2 linked regions of the Alligator mississippiensis genome follow. The main gene of each other region encodes a partner of the protein of the gene in region 2 in a complex. Links are inferred from orthologs where the notes say so. Each region holds a gene or a part of one and is shown on either strand. Other genes may lie near its edges. The genes, in order: CRNKL1 and DHX16.

Evidence for each region.
Region 1: DHX16 (region 2) and CRNKL1 share a complex: the UniProt entries of both Homo sapiens proteins name them as parts of the minor spliceosome. The link is inferred for Alligator mississippiensis from reciprocal best matches to the Homo sapiens genes DHX16 and CRNKL1.

Annotation. Positions count from the first base shown.
Region 1 is NC_081824.1:229,711,554-229,721,212, forward strand, and holds the start of CRNKL1 (crooked neck-like protein 1), read left to right. Parts: upstream 1-5,116; 5' UTR 5,117-5,174; coding exon 5,175-5,222; intron 5,223-9,085; coding exon 9,086-9,238; intron 9,239-9,659. UniProt on the Homo sapiens protein: Involved in pre-mRNA splicing process. As a component of the minor spliceosome, involved in the splicing of U12-type introns in pre-mRNAs.
Region 2 is NC_081834.1:53,490,769-53,501,111, reverse strand, and holds the start of DHX16 (pre-mRNA-splicing factor ATP-dependent RNA helicase DHX16), read right to left. Parts: upstream 4,604-10,343; 5' UTR 4,483-4,603; coding exon 4,267-4,482; intron 3,971-4,266; coding exon 3,693-3,970; intron 2,654-3,692; coding exon 2,491-2,653; intron 2,014-2,490; coding exon 1,957-2,013; intron 1,403-1,956; coding exon 1,148-1,402; intron 741-1,147; coding exon 516-740; intron 67-515; coding exon 1-66. Other genes in the region: PPP1R18 (phostensin), read right to left, coding at 8,231-8,250, 8,931-9,138. UniProt on the Homo sapiens protein: Required for pre-mRNA splicing as a component of the spliceosome. Contributes to pre-mRNA splicing after spliceosome formation and prior to the first transesterification reaction.

The sequences.
Region 1 (9,659 bases), on a different chromosome or scaffold from region 2:
CACAAACAGGATTAAGGGGAAATGTGATGGAGTGAAAATTAATTAAGAACTGCCCCTGGTGTAGTGGGGGGTCCCGCATACATAACGCGGATAAATTATGGGCCCACATCGCTTATCACCAAGCAAGCAGAGCGGAGACAGGGTGCGTCAGCGGCTACTTCTTGCTGAGAGGAGAGGAGGGAGTCGGAAAGGAATGGGCAAGCTCCGAGTGGGACAAAAAAAAGATGATTAATGTAGTGTCACTCCTACTGCATAAAAATACAAACTTAAAAACCCAGTTAGCTACAGGCAGCAAAGCTGCTGTGGAGATGACAGCGTGCCAAAACCCTCCGTTGCCACAAAAAAATGACACCAAAAAAATATGAGCTGCCCGGAGGACCTAAAAAAGAAGGGCAGAGCCACAAAAGAACAGGTGGGACTCCACCCAACAAGCCCGCCCCCTGAGATGACGTCGCTCCCAACGGCCCCACCTCTGTCCCACAGGGAGGGGACAACGAGCGAGAATCCGATCCTCCCACCAGACACAATAACAACTACAGCTGCCGCTCATCCTATAACAATAACCAAGCAAATAACCAACCCAGAGGGTGCAACCACCACCACCACCCTTGATGTCATCAAAGCATACATGGAGATTTATAAAAAAGAGGACACCATCACCCTTCGCCTTCTCCTCAACCTGCTCGTTACTCAGCCAGCAGAAAATCTTTTAAGTCAACTTCCACGACTACAAGCCCTTGTAAAGTCAACAACCGCAAACTCAGCCATGGCCATAAGCTATCTTACTGCATATCCAGTCAAATACCAAAGACCAAGACATTCCCAATTCAACTCACGAAAAAAATCAAGACTGCCATCCCAGAGGACACCAGAGGAAAGAGCCATGTTTGGGTTCCTCCTAAACTACTTCACGCTTACCAAACAACGGCTGCACATCCTAGAAGATGCGGGACAATGACAACTGACACATATACTAGGCTACCAACCTCGACCGATCCCGCCAACTGGTCCGGGCCCCGGAGGCACCCACGCCTAACAGCGCACTCTGGATAACACCGCAGCCTGCCCCAACAAACAACTACTCGAAGGGGGCATCTATAAACTATTCCAACCACTACGACATTATGCTCGTAGATATACAAAAGACAATTTTATTATTTTTTAGTTTTCTTTGTTTGTTTGTCTGTTCGTTTATTTTGTTCCCTTACAGGCCCAGCGGTGACGAAGAGACAATCTGTGACTGCCCGATCACAAAAATCACCGAACACCAATCTGCAGCACACCTGAGTCGACGACACAATGACCGCCCCTGCTCATATGTTGCAAGCAGGGTCGTCGCTCTATTCCTGCTGTTACCAACAGTTTCTTCGGCGAACGGAGCTGACTTCAAAACCTCCAACTCGGTCCTCAACCTTTTGTCATTTTAGGCCAAAGACATAACTAATGACTCATTTAATGGTTTTTCTTTTCCTGTTAATGATCTTATACATACTTGTTTGTTTTGTTTTAAAGCCTGTTTGAGACTTTACGCAATAAAACCAAGTCATAATGTTTTGAATAAAAAGCTCTAAATTATTAAAAAAACCCCAACATTGATAGTCTGAAGGTTTGGGGGATGTCACAAAAAAGTCGGATATAGACAAAAACATTGATTAAAAAAACGTAAAAAAAGAGATGAGGGAGATGATGATAAAAGGGGACAAATAGTCAAGGTTCTAAAGGAACCTATACATTCAAAGAAGAGGAAAAGAAATGGTTTGAGAAGAGAGGTGACAATAAAAAAAAGCCGCTAATGACAATACAAAAAATTGGTGTTTTCAGAGCTACGATTTAACTCAAATATAATAAGCCACAATTTTAAAAACCCTCCGTATAGGGGGCATTAATCTGATACCTCACTCTCAGTTACCTTAAAAAAATCGAATTAAAAAAAATTACATAAAATCAAAAATAACAGTTTACTGCGTTTAAGTTAATTCAAGTGTCGGCATCTTTGATTATCTTGTGTTTACCATGGATCATAATAGCCATTGTTATATTTGTGTGTTTTAGTTGTTGGATTTTACAATATCTCAAAACTAAGTTAACCACGCTTTTTGCTTTTATATACACTCGCTTGCCAAACACTAACAATGATAAACAAAATGGTCTATATATAAACATGATGTGACTTGCTGTGCCATGGACAAGGGGACATGTCACAACCAAATTAAATAGTGCCCATGTCACAAACAAGTAAAACCATTCAAAACAGTTTTTTTCTACACTAGGTTAACTAAGGGTTAACAATAATGATAGTAACCGCTTTTTTGCTGCGCATGCAAAAAGAAATTTATTACTGCGCCACTAACAGAGATAAAAACTTTTGCCTTCTTTGCTTTATATAAATCATTACAATTGGTCGGAATGACAGGGGAGTGTCCCTATGACAAACACCCTAATAAAAACCACTATACAATTGGCGATTCTCATTAAATTTATGACGTGACAAAAAACAATTGGCTAATATACAAATAAAACCCGTCTTCACTTCCGTGAAGAACGGGAGACCTCCGCACACACACCTAAAAAACCTCTAAATGTATGCGTAAAAATAACTGACAAATTGATCACTTGTCAGTCTCCCCCGTCTCGACCTTATCAGACGTAAATCAATGACCTGCCGGCCCGATTTTTTCTCCGTTTATCTGCCCGACCAACGAACTCTTATACAGACCGACCTATGACCTACGAACCTTAAGCTATAACTAACCAAGTATCTCTGACCTCCGCTATTCACCACCTTGATGGCATAAATAAATAATCTTGCTTTACAACCGATAAGCGTCCGCCTAATTAATTCCACTCCAAGCTTCACAAATACCCACCTGACAGCCTTCTAAGGCCCTGGACCCTTATCTGCCCGGGTGAGAGTCAGAGAGAGCTGCTGGCCGCTGCCCTGGGTCCTGACACATCTCATCTTATAATTTCTATACACTTTATAGAGACAGGAGCCCCTACCTCATCCCAACTTCCCAATACCATATTGCATCGCAGGTCCCAATCCTAGATGCTCATACTTGTGGGAAGGCCCCTATAACCACCCAGTATCCAAGTCACAGTCATGGGTTTTATTGTGTAGAACTAGACCTTACCAACTAAATCAGGGGTAGGCAATTATTTGGGCTGGAGGACCACTTAAGAAGTGGATCATGGCTCTGCCCCATGCTGTTACCACCCTACAATCTCAGCCCTGGCCCCAGCCACCCATCCTGTTCCTGGACGCTGCTCCCCGCCTGCCCGCAGCCCCATGCCAACCACCAAAACATAACATGCCCTGCCTGCAGGGGTCCTTGGCAGGTCTCCATGGAGATACTGCCTGCCTGGCACCCCTTCTGACCCTGAAAATCTATGAGATTGAGGGCAGTGGTTCTCTCCCAGGCCTTTTATCCGTATCTTCTCTTCCAGCTGGTCAGAGACTTTGACCCTCTAAATAAAGGCCTCTACCATCACTCGTTCACTGTACACATCCTCTAAAGGCTACTAATGTCACATCCCTTATTCACTAACACAGGCTCACATGGACTTGTTTCCCATTACAGGAAGACTAGCAAGAATGCATCTGCAGAACCAATTATGCTCACTTGGGCAAACAAGTGACCGTGTAAGAAAAATGTCAGCAGTTACAATGCTGCTGAGGGCAGAGGTGCAACCTCCTTGGATGGCTGACAGGCAGACCCAGATTTGCTAATAAGCAAAGGGAAATCCCCACTTCTTACATTCCTTAAGAGGCCGCCTCAGCGGCATGACAAAGTTGGCAGCTGGGGGGAAACTCTACGGGGGAGCATGGAGGAAGGCAGGGGTTGGTGCACAGGCTCTGACAGTTGGGGGACAGGGGGCCAAAGTTCTAAAAGGAGAGCTGGGGCGCAGCAGCCTTACCCATGCTGGGACTCCTACACCATCCCAGCTGAGCTGCTGCTGTCACCACTTGTGCTCAGCCTGCCTCATCTGTTGCTCTTAAAGCAGTAGCAGGCAAGCTGTTTCAGAGTTCCCAGGAAGGCAATGCTGCTGAGGCTCAGACTCCACAAGGGTGGTGGGTAATCCTGGCACCTCTCCTAACTTGGCATCAGGAGCAAGAGGCAGGGGCCTCTAGTAATGCTGTGGGTCTCCCTGCCCCACCACAACTGTGATTCCCCTCTCCTTAGCCATGCATCCCTGCACTTTTACATGTGAGGGCACTATATCTGTAGGGTGGCCCACATGCAGGGCTATTGTAGAATCAAAGAAAATGACGGTTAGGAGGGATCTCAGGAGGTCATCTAGTCTAGTCTTCTCAAAGCAGGATCATCCCCAACTAGATCATTCCAGTCAGGGCTTTGTCTAGCCAGGTCTTCAAAACCTCCAAGGATGGAGCTTCCACCACCTCTCTGGGTAACCTGTTCCTGTGCTTCACCACCCTCCTAGTGAGAAAATTCTTCCTAACATCTTCCCATTTGATGCCTTTTTTTCAAGTGAGCACATGAGAGAGCAAACTCTTGCTGAGGGCAGCTCAGCTGGGCTATAAAGTGTACTTCTCCCTGCCTGACTTCAGGCTCATCGGGCAAGCTGCCTCTCCCAAGTCCTACATGGCAAGCACCCGCCTGGCCGCGCAGACCTGCAACAGGGGAGGAGGCTGCGGCTGGGGAAGCCAGAAATGGCTAGGCAGCACCGCCCCAGGGAGGGCCCCATCACCCCGCCCCGCAGTGCCCCGGGCGGGCGCGAGGGGTCGCACAAGGGACGACCGAGGGGAGAGGGAGGAAATGTTGGGCGGCAGGAGTGCCGCGCGGCATGCTGGGTGTGGTAGTTCCGGCCCGCGCGGCATGCTGGGGGATGCAGTTCGTGGCGCGAGCCCAGGGGAGACCGCTGCTATCCTCGCGGCCCACAGCGTCACTCACCTCGGCAGGATGGAGCAGATCGGAGTGCCCGGCCCTCGGGCTGCTGGGGCGGCGCGGGCAGGGGCGGGGCGCCCTGCAGGAGCCGAGGCGAGCGGCGGCGCCGGGAGGACGCAGGAGCGGTCGCAGCCGCAGCAACGGATCAGCCGCGGGAGACGCGCCGCCGCCGTTACCGCGGCAACGACCCGGGCGACTCCGCGCATGCGCGCGGGGCGGAGGTGAAAGGTCAGGGCTGAGGCCTCTCGGGCCCGGAGAGGCGGTAACATGGCGTCTACGGCGGCCGGCAAGCAGCGGATCCCCAAAGTGGCGAAGGTGCGCGCGAGCGGTGCTGTGGGGGGATAGAGTGTCCGTGACCTGCCCCTCCCCCCCCCCCCCGCTCCTGCGGGGTGCGCAGCCCGGCGGGGTGGTGGGAGGGGCAGGGCCCGGGCCCGCGGCCGGGACCTACCAAGTGCGTGTTGCCGCGAGGGGGGCGCAGCTTGGAGCACCGGGGTGGGGAGGGTGCCGTGACGCAAGCGGCCGTCTCAGCGCCTCCTTCCCCCCCCCCCCCCCCGCTGCCAGGAGTTCCACGGTGATGGGATTTGTACCTTCATTCAACCCTTGTAGGGTGCACCATCAATCACAGTCAATGTGCTCACACTGCACACTCATTTTTGAGGAAGCGCCTTGATGCAAAACCCAAGTTGCTCTCGGGGAGACAACTGACCTTTGGGTTGTTGTTTTTTTATTAATATATTTAATGTTCCAGGTCAAATCAGCTCTGTATCATATCAATTGGGCAGAACTCAGTCATGCCCAAAACAGTGTGGGTTGAGCAGGTAGAGCTCAATAGTTGTAAACACTATGTATGGTGGTAGCATCCTCCATGCCAGCCTCTCATGTTGGGACTTTGTGGACTCCCAAATCTATTGGCAGGTGTCCTGCGTGCAGGCTCAAGCCTGGAGGTCTTGCGATTCAGATGCTGTCCTTGCAAAAGGCTGCTTGATCTTAGCCCACAAGAGGCCAAGAAGTGATTCAGATCATATCAATTGAGCTATCAGCACTTACTTGTGATGGCTTCCCTCAAAATAAAGAAATGCTCCGACTCTAACCCAGTTCTCATTCACTCCCTGGAAAGTTACCAGGAGCAGTATAGAGTAAATCACATTTATTTGCATACTTATTTCCATATTTTTCTGTGTACAATAGGTTTTTAAACACGTACAATAATTTTGAGCTTCCAATACGATAATTTCATATTTAAGACCTGGTAATTTAAGACCCTCAGATTTGTCACAGCTAGGCCAGGGCTGGGTCTCTCAGCCACGGCTTCTTCGGGCTAATAAATCATGCTACTGCCTCTCAGTAAACTCTTCTACATCAGCTTTGGGGTTTGGTCACTAAAAGGCACAAGTCAGGCCGGCCTTGGGGCCAGAGAGGTCCCCATGGGAGTCATGGCCTCTGCTGCTGCCGCTCCAGCTCCCAGTGTCCTGCCACAGGTTCAAATGAAAGCCAGGTAGAAATCAGCTGTCAAGTGGTTGCACATTTTCGAGCACTCACATTGTAAGCGGCTACCTCTTCTTAAAGCCGGACAGTCCTTTTTTTGCTGTGATAACGACTTTGGGCTGAATTTATTGTGCAATTGACTGCTTTGTTGTGTAATGTATGTAACGTGCAGCATGGGCCCCATTGGCAGCTTCTGCCTTTGCTGTGGCACCAGGTGACAAGCACGGGCCAGGCTCCTGCCCTGCATCCCAATTGGGCAGACTTGCTTGGGAGCCAGCGATGTCATGGGCGCTCCACCGTAGCCTGCGTAGAGGCTGGTGCACTTAAGCAGGGGCCTGTGCACAGGAGCTGCCTGTGTGGAGCTCAGTGCAGGATTGGAGCCTTTGCATGGCTGTACCTAAGTCACTCAAATGCAGATTTTATTTTTTGCTTTAAATAGTGTAAACAGGGGTATCAGACTTACCTTGTGCCCCAGGTCATATCCAGACCACAGGGCTCTTTGCAAGCCAGATGCATCCCAGGATATGAAGAAACTACAGCAACAGTGGTCGCTCTTGGAGCAAGCCTTGGCTACAGCTTTGTGTCGTGGAGGATGCACCCCTATCTGCTTGCAGACAGGACTCCCTATGGGAGGCTCATAATTAGCTTCCCACTGACCAGCTTCCAGTGGGAGGATCACAGCTACACATCGCCTTCATGGGAGACTCTTCTGTAGCTTGCTTCTGCGTCCATATGGCTGGGAGCAAGTGAAACATGGGGGCATCTGAACCCCAAGCTTCCGGGCTTGTGCCTGCACGTAGGATGCCTACCAAAGGATTTGGAAGTATCTGAAGCCCCAGACTTGGTGGAGGATACTTGCCAGTAATAGGGCCACATAAAGTTTTTGAATGATTCCAGGGATTTGGAACTGATCTGGCTAATTTAACCTGGAACACAAAAATTTTTCCTTCAAAAAAAAAAAAAAAATTGCAGTGGTCACAGTTCTGAGCTCTGACCTAAAGCACATAATAGCAGCTCCAGTCTGGTGCTGGAACAGTTGTCACATGTCCCATCCCACATGTGGTGGTAGCTCCAGCACAGGACATGCGGCAGGGACCAGCATTCTCCTTGTCCTCCTGCTGCCAATTGCCATGTCCACCCTGAATTCTGTGGCAGGCCACTCCAGTAGTCCAGTGGGCGCCAGGGGCTCAGTCTGGCCCCTGAGCGGTGTGTTTGACACACCTGATGTAGTGGAATGGAAATAAGAAAATGGAATCCTCCAGGCTACCAGTAGGGGCAGTGTTACTGCCACGGCATTATAATTAGTTACCTAGCCCAAGGGTTGGCGACCTTTTACAAACAGTGGACTGGTGCTTGCAATCTGGCTGCTCCCAATCCCTGCTGCACTGTTCCTTCCCATAGTGTCCCTGCTGCTGCCTCCACTTACCTGCATCTTCCAGTGCTGCAGATTTGCTGTCTGAAACATCAGTGAGGAGGGGTGAATTTGGCAGTGAGAGTAAGCACTGGCTGTTTTAACAGGCATGAGAGCTGCAGAAAGGGGCATTATGGAGGGGATCAGCAGCATGGTGCAGGGCAGAGAAGGGGAAGGTGTCAGGGCAAGCTGTTGCGTGCTGTAGATCCTACATGCCACCACAGGCCAGATCCAGACCTCTTTGCAGGCTGGATCCAGCCTGTAGGCTGCCAATTCCTGGTCTAGTCTATTGCTAATATTATGATCAGATACTAAGTCCAACATAGGTGACTTGTACACCCATGAGGATCCTCAGTGACACATTCCACTTTTTAAAACAAGCAGTCCTTTGAAATTGCAATGGTCAGTAGACTGACCACAACCCTTAGTTCTAAAACATGTGTATACACACCTTACTGCTGTGCTCGTGCATATAAAATTTAGCATATGGGTGAGTTTTATCCAATTAAAACGTTATAGCTTGTAGCAAGCTTGGCTGCCTGCACTCCTGGGCTGGAAGCCCCAGTCAGCTGATCGCAGGTCCCAGCCATGAGAGAGCACCAGGTGATCCCACAGCTGAGAGCTCAGATCAGTTATCAGTGCTCCCAGCCATGGAAGTACATGTTGCTCTCCCCTGGCTGGGAGCTCTGATTGAGCATGTGCAGCCTCTGGAGCACATGGGAATCTGGAAAGGCTCCAGTGTGCTCCAGAGGCTGGGAACACTTCCCATACATACAATTACAGACAGTTAAGTAGTTAAGGCCCCTGACAGATGTTACACTTATAATTATATTCTAATATTATAAAAGCCTAAATCTGTCTGTCCATCCGTCTGGCCATAATGCTTTATTCGCGCTCTGATTGGCTGACAAACAGCCAATCAGAGCGTGAAGAAGCATTTGGATAGGTGGCAGCCCGCCGTCATGATGGCGGGGGCACAGGAGATGAGCGAAGGGGGGCCTGCTCCTCCCACCTTGCCTTGGTCCCCCCGCTGCCCTGCTCCCCAGAGAAAGTTGAAACAGGGTGTCAATTTATAAAGGTTGTACGTGCAAAACATTGTAACTTGAAACGTAAGTCAAGGACTGCCTGTATTTACCATCCCACTTCTCTCTCAGTCTATCACTAGTCACACTGGGGGAATTTCACACAGCAAAATAACTGAATTAACTCAAGTCAGCAGATTTTTCAGTATTATATGGAATTTTTTAAAAAATCAAATAAAAATGATTTTTTTTTTCCTAAGGTGAAAAATAAAGCCCCAGCGGAAGTACAGATCACAGCAGAACAGCTCTTGAGAGAAGCGAAAGAGAGAGAACTTGAGCTTCTTCCGCCCCCTCCCCAGCAGAAGATCACTGATGAGGAAGAGCTAAATGATTACAAGCTTCGGAAAAGGAAGGTATGTGCACAGCTATTTGCTGCTTCTGCACAGGAGCAGGACACTAATTTATTTTTTAAGTTTGAATAACTTAAAAATGTTGTGTTTCTTTTTTAAATAACTTTCAAAGAAAGAAGAGAGATGCCAATTAAGTAGTGACAAATACTGTGTAAAAGTTCACCTTTTTTAAAAACAAAAAAAGTTTTGTTTCTAATACTTGGGATTTAGGATCAAATAGCAACAGAGCATGACTCATACCACTCTAATGTTGCATTAGAAACTGCATGCCTAATATCATATTAATGAGTCCATTCTCGTACAGTAGGATGTTGACATAGAACCGAGGAAAAGGAATAAAAATCAACAGAGTAGAGCAGTTACGTGCATACAACAATCTGACTGATTAATGATGTTAATCTAGAAAACAAAATGATCAGTTGGG
Region 2 (10,343 bases):
GCTGCGCCGCACCTCCTGGATGGACAGCTTCCGACGCTCCACCTCTGACAGTGACGCTTTCTCCTCCTGTGGGAGGAAGGACCACAGGGCACTGTGAGCTCAGCTCCCCCCCCCCCACAACTCTTGAACCCAGAGAATTCCCAGTCCTTCAGCAGCTAGAGGGGACCAGGGGAGGCGCAAGACAAAGGAAGAGGCCTCCAGAAGGCTGCGTTATTTGGAATGGAAGGGAAGGGGACACAGATCCTGGAACCTCTGCTTGTGCCACAATCACCCACAACACCCCTAAGTGCTGGGGCACAGCCCTGCAAGGGGAGGAAGAAAGGCACATTTGGAGGCCTTTGCCAACTGGGCTGTGGAACAGGGATGCTGGCACTGGTCCAAGATCCAGCAACTTGTGACATACAGACAAGCATAAGCAAATCTTGAATGTAGGGAGAAAGGCCCCGTCTCCCATTCCTCCACTGCCCCCTGGTCCACGTGGTGCCCCTAGGTGGTGAACAGGTCCTAGCCCCAACCTTCTCCTGCTGGATGCCCTGCATCTGCACGGCGCTGACGAATTGGATCATCTCATCCTCCTCCAGCACGTACTCATAGTCCTTGTGGGGATGGTGCTGGCTGGCATCACGGGCCCCGAAGCGCAGGGCAGCCGCCCCAATGTGCTCCTCCTCCCAGCGCTGCTGCTCATCTCGGGGAGCCGTGCGCTCATCTGCCTGCGGCTCCTCATAGTGGTCGGGGATTTTCTGTAGAGACATGAGAGTTCTAGGGTATGAGTCAAGCCCCAGCAGAAATGGTCCCTGGCTGGAGGCTCACACACTGACCCTGGCTCTAGGTAAATCAGACTGGGTGACAGGCTCATCCAAGTCTCCTCCACTGCTGCATGGGCCACCCAAGAAGGAATCTCATTCCCTTTCTGACCAGTCCTACAGCCACCCACCAGGGCACTGAGCACCGCCACAGTCCACCCCCTCAACCCCCTGGTCCCCAGACACACCCTAAATCCCTCAACCCCCTCACCTTGGGCATGTCTCACAGGCCCTTTCTTTACCTCCCCAATCCCCAGGCAGGTCTCCCACACTAGAGAGTGCTACCTGAAAGGTGAGGAGCACCCACTATGGCTGCCCCATCCCCTCCTCCAGGGGGAAGATACCTTGCTGCGACTCTCCTCGGGGATGTAGTAGCGGTTGCTCTTCTCCAGTTTCTCCTTCTCGCCTGCCTGCTTGTACTCCTTGGCCAGGTCGCGCACCCGGCACTTGTACTCCAGCTCCCGCTGCTCCCGCGTCGTCAGCTCCAGCTCCGAGAAGAGGTATTTCTCATCTACAATCTCTGCCTCCAGATCCTCCAGCTTGTCCCGCTCCCGCTTGGCCAGGTAATCCCGGCGTGACTTCTTACGCAGCTCAGGAACCTGGAAGTGAGACATGGGGGGAAAAAGACCAGAGGTTAAACTCCTGGACACCTGGGTTCCAACCCCAGCTCTGGGAGGAGGAGAGGGAGCAAAAAGCCAGGACTCTTGGATCCTTTTTGATTCAAGGAGGTGGTTATGGAAAGGCTGACAAAGCAGATCAGAAGAGAGTGGATTTCCCAGTTCTGGCAGTGAGACCCTGGTGCAACCCTGGGCTAATCACTTGGGTGATCTGCCTCCGTTTCCCCTCTCTGCACAATGGAGTCATCAGCCTCTAAACAAGGGGGGTGGGGAAGGGACTGCACAGCAGCTCAGCTAAGCAAGAAGAACAAAGAAGTGAGGGAGAGATTGCTGGGCTAGATGGGGCCCATATGTCTGACGCACAAAGGCAGGACACCAAGACAGCGGGGCCTGCTGGCACAATCTGGGGCAGGACATCATGTTAGATGGGCCCTTCACTCTGATCCAGGGTAGTGAGACACTGGGCAAAATGAGCCAACAAATCCCTGGTCACCCACAAGAGAAGAAAGGGAAGGCGAAGGTGACAAAGCCCTTACCATGGATTTCTGATTCTCTTCTGCCATCTTCAGTCGCTTCTGAGCCTCCTCATAGGCCTGAGCTCAACAAAGAGGGGAAAGGGAGAGAAGTTCAAGTCATGCAGATGGCCCCAGATGGTCTCCTATACAGCCCTGACCCACCCCGTCCCTGGCCTTAACCTGCCTCTGGGGCTTAAAGGGCCCAGCAGGGCATATGGTGCACAGTCCCACGATGGGAAGGAGCTGGGGCTACCAGATACTACACCCTGCTCTGCTAATCACCCACTTCTTCACCCTCATGAAAGGAAATGGATCTGTCTCCTGCCCTGACTTCCACTTCAGCTTCTCCCTCCCTGCTGCCCTTGCATTCACTGGGTTTGCAATCAGCCCATCAAGAGGCGGGTATTATGGGCACTGGGGAGGGACCTCCAGGATCAGAGGCAGGTCGTAGGAGAGGAGTTGGGTCTAACCTCAGAGAGCAGGAAGGATCCCAGAGTAGCTGGGTCTGAGGACTGGGCAAACAGCCTCTCATTAGGGGATGGGACAGGGACTTGCCTTCTTGTCCGAGCACTCCAGAACATTCCTGGTCCGATCCTTGTCCTTTCGCCGGATCCGCTCAGCAAAGGCATCCCGCTCCTCCAGGTCCCGCAGGCGATCCCGCTCGCTCTGCTCCCACTCATCCTCCGAGTCCTTCTTTGGTGGGGACTGTGCTGCCTCCCTGCCAAGAGAAGCCAAGGCCATAGCACCAGAGAGCCCCAGGCATGGGCCTGGGTCCACTGCTGTGCCAAGCACTGCGAAGACAAGGAAGATGGCCCCCACTTCAGAGTACAGACAGAAGGGAAGAGCCCAAGAAAACACCGAGACAGTCCTGGCAGCATGGGGGCGGTGGTCTAAGAACATCAGCAACTTACTGCAAAGTCCTGCGAGTGTCGTGGAAAAGAAGGGCTACAAGAAATGATTGGAAGGAAGATTGTGAGCTAGTTTGTGGGATTTTACAGGGAGACCCTTCAGTGTGAGGGGCAGCACAAGGGGAAGTGTGGCTGGACATGTCTGAAACAAGAGGGCAATGGAAGCTGGCATTATGGGCTGACCAGAGGCAGAACATGACGTCTCACTATAGGGGGATGCCAGGCAAGGCGGCAGTTAGGCCGCAAGAGTGAACACACGCTGGTGTCTGACAGTGCAAAGGAGGAGCCCACAGAGACAAGCACGGAGAGGGGGGTGCAGTCACCAAGATGAGCTAGGAGAATGACCCTGGCAGCAGGATGGCGAAGGGCCAAGCTGCCTTGGTGAAGACTAGAAAAAGGGTGACTTTGAGGCACTGAGATGAAGTTTTAGTGATGTGGGTGGGCAGGGAAAACCAGCCTTTCAGGGGGTTACACAGAAAACAGCTGCAAGATTGACTCAGAGCCCAGACAGCAGAGCTTGCAGGAGAACCTGGTAAAAACGATGCCGACTGCATGGGCCGGGAGGACAGGCAGACTGCGGCCCTGCCCACACAGAGCTAAAAGCAGGCGAGCAAAACCAGAAGGCGGGGGCAGGGAGGCTAAGAGCTCTCTCCGACTTGGCCACATTGATTGCTGAGCAGGGCACGCACTGGGTGCCAGGCCGAGGCTTTGGCTGGGAGAGGGCTCTGGAGGACCCAGGTGGATCTGGGACACAGTGGTGGAGAGGTGGGGAGAGAGGTTCATCTCTGGGCGACTCCACCTGCAGGGAGAGGCCCGGCACCCCACCCACCCACCCACCCACCCACGCACCTCCCTGGCTCCGCCTCGCTCTCCTCTCCCGAGGTCTCGTCCCGCTTCCGGCGCAGATGCTTGCGCCGCTTCTTGTGCTTCCCTCCCTCGGGGCTGCGCACGGAGCCGGGGGTGCTGCCCCGGGCCCGGGCCCCCGCCCCCCGGCGCCGCCCGGCCTCCTCCGCCTCCTCCTCCTCGCTGTCCTCCAGCAGCTGGTACGAGCGGTTCTTCTGCTGCAGAGCCAGCGCCTCCCGCTCCGCTGCGCGCGACGGCCGCTCCGCAGGGGCCTGGCGCGGGATCTGGGGTGGCAGAAAGACATCGAGTCACTCCTCCGCCCTGACGCTTTCCTTTCCCCCCAGTGGTGCCCCGCCCCTTCCCCATTGGCTCCTCCCCCTCCTTCCTCAGTTCAGCTCCCCCCCCACACACTGCCCCTCCCCCTCAACCACGCTCGACGCCCGCCCAGCGGTGGCCCCGCCCCCAGTAGGAGGCCCCGCCCCCTCAGCTAGACCCCCCCCCCAGCCAGGTTCGATCCCCCCCGCGGCGGTGGCCCCGCCCCCAGAAAGAGGCCCCGCCCCGCCCCGGCGGCCCCGCCCACCTGGTCCCAGAGGCGCTGCGCGAAGCTGCGCACGGCCGGGTCGCTGACGTTCAGGGTCTCGGTCTGCTCCAGGCGGCCCAGCAGGTCCTCGGGGCTGTGGCTGCGCCGCGCCAGCCCCACCAGGAAGGCGGCCACGTGCCGCTCGCTCAGCCCCAGCAGCGCGTGCAGCTCCCCGGACACCCACCGCTCCAGAGCCGCGGGGCCGCCCCCCGCCATCTTCGTCCGCTGAAGGCCCCTTCGGGGCCACCGTCTCCGCTGCCAGCTTCAGTTTCCCGTCACGTGACGCCGCGGGCCAACCAGCGCACGGGCGGGGCGCCTGGAAGCGGCCGCTGAACTGCGCAGGCGCGCGGCGCTCTCGGCTTCGTCTGCCGTAATGCGTGAGCGATGAGCCGCGGGTGTGCGCCACATTAGGCGCTTCTACCGTAATTACATCAGCAGATGCCGTTGCACCTTCATGAAACCTTCACCAGGGGTGCGCTCCTGTGGGATGCTGCTGCTCTGGTCTGGCCCCTGGTGCCATAACTAGGAGCTATGAGTCACACCTGGCTTCTATGTTGCAGTGGAGGCACGTGGGATGCACCAAATCCTCTGCGCTGTGAGCTGAGCCTGGCCTCCCTTGGGACTGCTTCTGCCCTCGTTAACATAAAATGGGCCCTTAGCCAGGCACTTGTGCATCTTTACCATAATGACTGTAATCTGCGCTGCGCTGCACTGCGAACAGCAGCTGATGGGGCTTATGAGGCCTCGGGGCTTGCGGGCACTACCTGCGGGATCCCAAGTCCTTACTGTGATTTCAGCCCTTTAAGTTGCAAGTTACTCAGTGGAGGGACACGCAGCAAGGTGCAGCCAAGCCAGGTTGCTGTATGGGATCTGCACTGTGGTGAACCCAACCTGCTAGGAGAGAGGGGGGCTCTGCCCTCAGTTGTTGCCATCACTGCTCATGCAGGGGGTTTAATGCGGGCGGGGGGCTGTTCCAATCACTAGAGAGCAATAGTGTAACAGCGCGCAGGGTGCAAAAATAGCAACCACTGTAGGCACCTAGTGCTGCCCCGTCTGCTACACTGCCTCAGGCATGGAGTTGTCCTCCTATTACTCTCCCAGGAGCAAACGTGGTCCCAATCTGTGGCCCACCATCTGATTGCAGCTTTAATTGCTTTCTTGGACTTCAGCTGAAACCCATGCTCCCACCTCTTGCCTCAAACCCACGGTCTGAAGCAGTGTTACCAGGGCCACAGCTCCCAGCCAGCTCCTGACCTGGACCTATCCAGAAGCTGGCAGCATATGTATGTGCTGCCTCCTGACTTGGCTTCTGCCCGCAATTAATGGGGTATGAGTCAGCTTCCTACTCACCTGTTTTGTTTAACACCCCCTGTTCCTGTTTGACCACACGTGAGTCAACTTCCTGCTTAAATCTTTCTATAGATGTAAGGGACCGACAAGGGAGCTCATTTCCCTTCATTACCAGGCTTGAGTCAAACTATTAATTGCTACTATATTTCTATGCCCTTGAGTCACGCACTTCACGACATTTCTAGGCATAGGAGTTTTCTTCCCAATTGGCTTCCTGCTATAATTTACCAATGTATAACCTGTCTACCAAAGTAGCTTTGTTTTTTACAGGCCTGGATTTTACCCTATTTACAGATATAAGTTGATTTATCCTCTCCAGCCACATACCTCATTGTCTTCCAGCCAGAGAAGGTGCATTCTAGTTGGATGCCACACGAGGGATTCAGCAGCCCCATAGGATGTGACCCTTGTAGCACTAACTGGGAGATTCCAGGTGTAAGGCAAAGGACAGCAGAGCTTTGTGCTGCTGTGATGGAGAGAATGTGACAGGGAACAGCACTGGGTGCATCCACTGTGTGTGATCACCGAGTGTGTGTGCTACCAAGAGCAGAGCCAGGTCTCTGGCCAAAGAGCAGGGGCAGCTGCATTTCAGCATCCCAGTTAAGAGATTGAGATGAGTTTCTTTAGATGGGTTTTTGTAGTGTAGTTGTTATCATATTTGCCTAAGATGTGAAAGGTCCCTGGTTTGAGACTGGGCAGAAACAAGAGCCTGTTTTTTTTAGCCTACCCTGAAAATCTTTAAGAGGAGACTGGACAGGCACTTTGCTGGGGTCACCTGACCCCTGTTGTTTTTCCTGCTCCATGCAGGGAGCTGGGCCCAATGATCTTCTAAGGTCCCTTCCAGCTTTACAATCTATGAATCTATGAGATGCAGATCTGGGTTCATTTCAGGCTGTGACTTCCAAATAAGGGCTGCAAGGGAGACAGGTCCTTGCAGTGCCATCTGCCATCCATGGGGAGTGCATGGGAGCTGTGTCCTCATGATCTGGTCCATTACCCTAGGAGCTGAGGTAAACACAGGTAACAGAAGGCCAGGTCCACGTGCAACACTGCTCTCTTTTATTATTATTATTATTATTATTATTATAAAATAAAAAACGCTGTTGGGAAAAAGGTCAGAGGTGACCCCCAAACCTTCCACCTTCCCCTCCCCCTCACTCCCTGCTGCAGCTCAGACCTGGCACGGACATGGGTTAAGTTAAGAGAGGTCATGACGCCCTGTATCTCTCTCACCCTCCCCAGCTGGCTGCCCCTGCCACTGTCCGGGCAGGCGGCTGCAGTCCCTAGCAGCAGGCAAGGGTGCATCTGTTCCTTCCAGTGCAAAAGGAAAGGAAAAGACATGGATCACAATACTGAGAACAAGCTGAGCTCATCGGGGAGGGGACGACTGCAGCCAGTTCCTCACTCTGCCCTTCACCCCTTCATCTGATTCCACAGTTGCTCCATGCTCAGACCTGCTCATCTGGACCTCCACAGAAGGAGGTAAATAATGTTGCTCCATCTAAACAGGAAACGGAGTGGCTAAACAAGGAAGTCATACCTCTATCCTTCCCTCCTCTTCCCTGCTGCCTCTACTTTCAGCTGGCTCCTCCCCAGATCCCTACTGACTCTACCTCCTGTGTCGTGTCCCATCTCCCCCCGCCCCCCCCGCCCTGAAAAAACACATATTGCCCTCCCCTCTCTGGGCATCAGGTCTTGCACCATGTACATAAAAATGGCTATGCCCAAATGTAACTAGCTCCCCCGCAACCCCACCCACCTCAACCCCTTCTGAAGTCCCAATCTGCCCCACCCACTAATACTGCCTGGATGTCCTCCTATTGACAACAGGACCCCCCACCAGTCACAGACTGGCCAGCCCCCTGTACCAGTTGGCTCTGCCCCAATTACATATGAACCCCAACAAGTAACAAATGGAACCCTGCCCCTCCCCAATACCAACAGCACTTGTCCCGTGTCCCCACCTGCCTCGTGCCCTCCCTCAACGGTAGAATCCCCTTAACTGTGACCCCTGTGACAGCTTTGTTAGAAAATAAAAACCCCTGTAACAAAAGTCAACCCCTCCCCCTCCCCTCCATACCCCACCCCACCCCACCCCAGTCCCTTACAAAACAGGGTGCAGAATTACAAAAGAAGCTTGTGCGGGTGTGTCTGGGAGCAGTTTTCACTGCCCCCGACCCCCACCACTGAGTCCATCCCTGCCCAGCTCTCCTACTGTTTCTGTGGCAGGCAGCAGGTGGAATCAGCTCTCAATACAGTCCATGGGATTAAAGAGCTCTCCCAGCAGCGGGAAGCAGAGCTCCCAGCACAGTGCAGGTGGGTGGGGGGTTCTTCTTTGTGGCTCCCTGGATCACATGTTGTTCCTTGGCCTCAATTCCCAGCTGGGCCATGCCGGGAGTAGTCAAAGAGATGGACAGTATCCCAGCTCCACTGTCCTGATAACAGCAAGAGGGACCTGGGGCTATCAGCCCTCCAGTGCTTGCTCTGTTTCAGCCCCCTTCTTGCTGGGACTTTACTGGAAGACAAAAGAGACGGGGCTGGCTGGGACCCCATTGTGACAGGGCAACTTCTGGATCAGCCCTGCTTCCCCCGCTGTAAGGAGGAGCTCACGAGGCTACCGCCTGCAGGATTCATCTGTCAGGAGAGAAAAAAAAAGGGGGAACTGAGTAGGGAAGCAGAGGTAGCAACTGGAGAACCAAAAGGGGAAGGGAAGCCAGGAGTCCACGCTCCCAGGCTCCAGGGCTCGAAATCACCAGGCCCCTCCTTCCCTCCCATGCTGGAGAGAGGTCGCAGGTATCCCACCTCCAAGCCCCCACAAACACATCTCTAACCCTCCCTCACCCCACTGTGTGCCCCAAGGTGAGAAGAGAGCCCAGGTGTCCTGCCTTGCAGCTCCCCAGTACTCTGATCCACTAGGTGCTTGACCACAGCAGCAAGGCGCACTGGGAAACTGGAAGTGAGCGAGGGGGCTGGGAGCACAGCTGCAGCTACACAGGTTGCAGGGGAGGAACAATTTGTCAGACACATGGAAACTGGAATAGGCTGGATGGATGCCTTTGTTCCAGGGCATGAGCTGCACCCCGCCATTCCCCGCGACAGCCAGCAGATGGAGCCCTCAGGCCTGCAGTGGGGTGAGCAATAGCCTTGCCCAGGGGTGGGCAGCACAGCAGAGAGATGCTAAGATTTTCCAGGTGGTCCTTCAGGGCTGACTACACCCTGTTCCCGTGGCACAGTGCCCCTTATGGCATGGGATCAGCCCTGCCTGCCAGAAACAGCATCCCCCACCCCAACCTCCAGCAGCACAGGAGACTCACCCACAATGAGGGGCTTGGTCCCGAGCACCCCTGGGATGCCCCGATGAAGAAGCAGAAGCTCCTCCTCTTCCTCATCGTCCTCCCCATGGGGGTTGGCCGAGGGTGGGAGGTCCAACTCCTCAGGGGGTCCAAACTCCTCCAGCAAGGACCCCTCCGATGGGTACTGGAAAGTGCGCTCCAGCTGGCTCTCGCTGAATGAAATCTTCAGCTGCATGGGAAAGGCAGGGAGGATCAGACCAGCAAGCCCATCTAGCCTGGCATCTCAGCCCCTCTCCACCCCCTGCCTGGATTGCCATCTAGCCTGGAGTCCTGCCTCTTAGCATACTGGATAGATGCTTGTCTCCCCTGTCCCCCATCAAGCAAGACCCTGTAATTACCAATTGCTGTGTCCTGTCTTAGGCCCTGCAGTAACATGCCAATGGGGTGTACGCATGGCATGAAGAGCCCCTGCAACAACAAGTCTGGGCTTGGGCTCCACCACTCTCGAGGGGCCCTACAATAACACCTGTGTGCTGAGGCCTGGAGACCCTTCAGGAGCAAACGATACAGGCTGAGAAATCCACCCCTCCCCAACAAACCACAGGACCCAGCCCCAGAGCTGGGACCCACTCCACCAACAACACACCCACAGTCCCACAATAACGCCCACGTGCTGAGCTTCCCTGCTGCCAAGAGCCCCTCCAGCAGTAGCCGTTTCATACTCAAGGCTCCACTTGTTCGATTCAAAGTCCCCCTCATTAAATTCAAGGCACCCTTTGGAAGGTGCCAGCTCTTTGTTTTTACTCTTTTTTTACTACAGAAAAATAATAGAACGATTCTTCTGTTGCAAAGAACTCAGACAGACCACCAAAGGTCAGAATGCTTTTAACACTATGGGTTCCTATCTGAAATCTCTGGGTTTATCTTGTGTAGTATGTTTGCACCTTAGCAGTGCTAACATTGTGTGGCACCCCATGGCACCCTTGAAATGGTGTAAAGGTACCCCAGGGGGGCTGCAACATCCTGGTTGAGACTTCCTGTCCTACAACAACAAAGCAGTAACATTAGACCCTCCAGTAACAGAGCAGTCAATTAAGCCCCTTGCTGCTTACAGGAGACCCTAGCATAACAAACCCTTTGGGAGCCTTCATGACTCTCTCCCCTCTGCCATGGGGTCTGGTGGGTGCCCCTGCCAAGAGGGTGCCCCTGCCCCCACCCCAGCCAGGCACAGAGCAGCAGGAGACACAGCAGGAGATAAACCCTGCAGGAAATGAGATTAGTTGTCCTGTCCTGCCTGCAGAGAAAAACGATTTCACCAAGGGCAACAGCCTCCTCTTCACCTTGAGGTGCAGCCAGGCTAGGCCACAAATAGCGATAGGGGAAGGAGGGGCCCTAATGCAGCACTTGGATATGCCCACGCCACGTCTGGGGTAG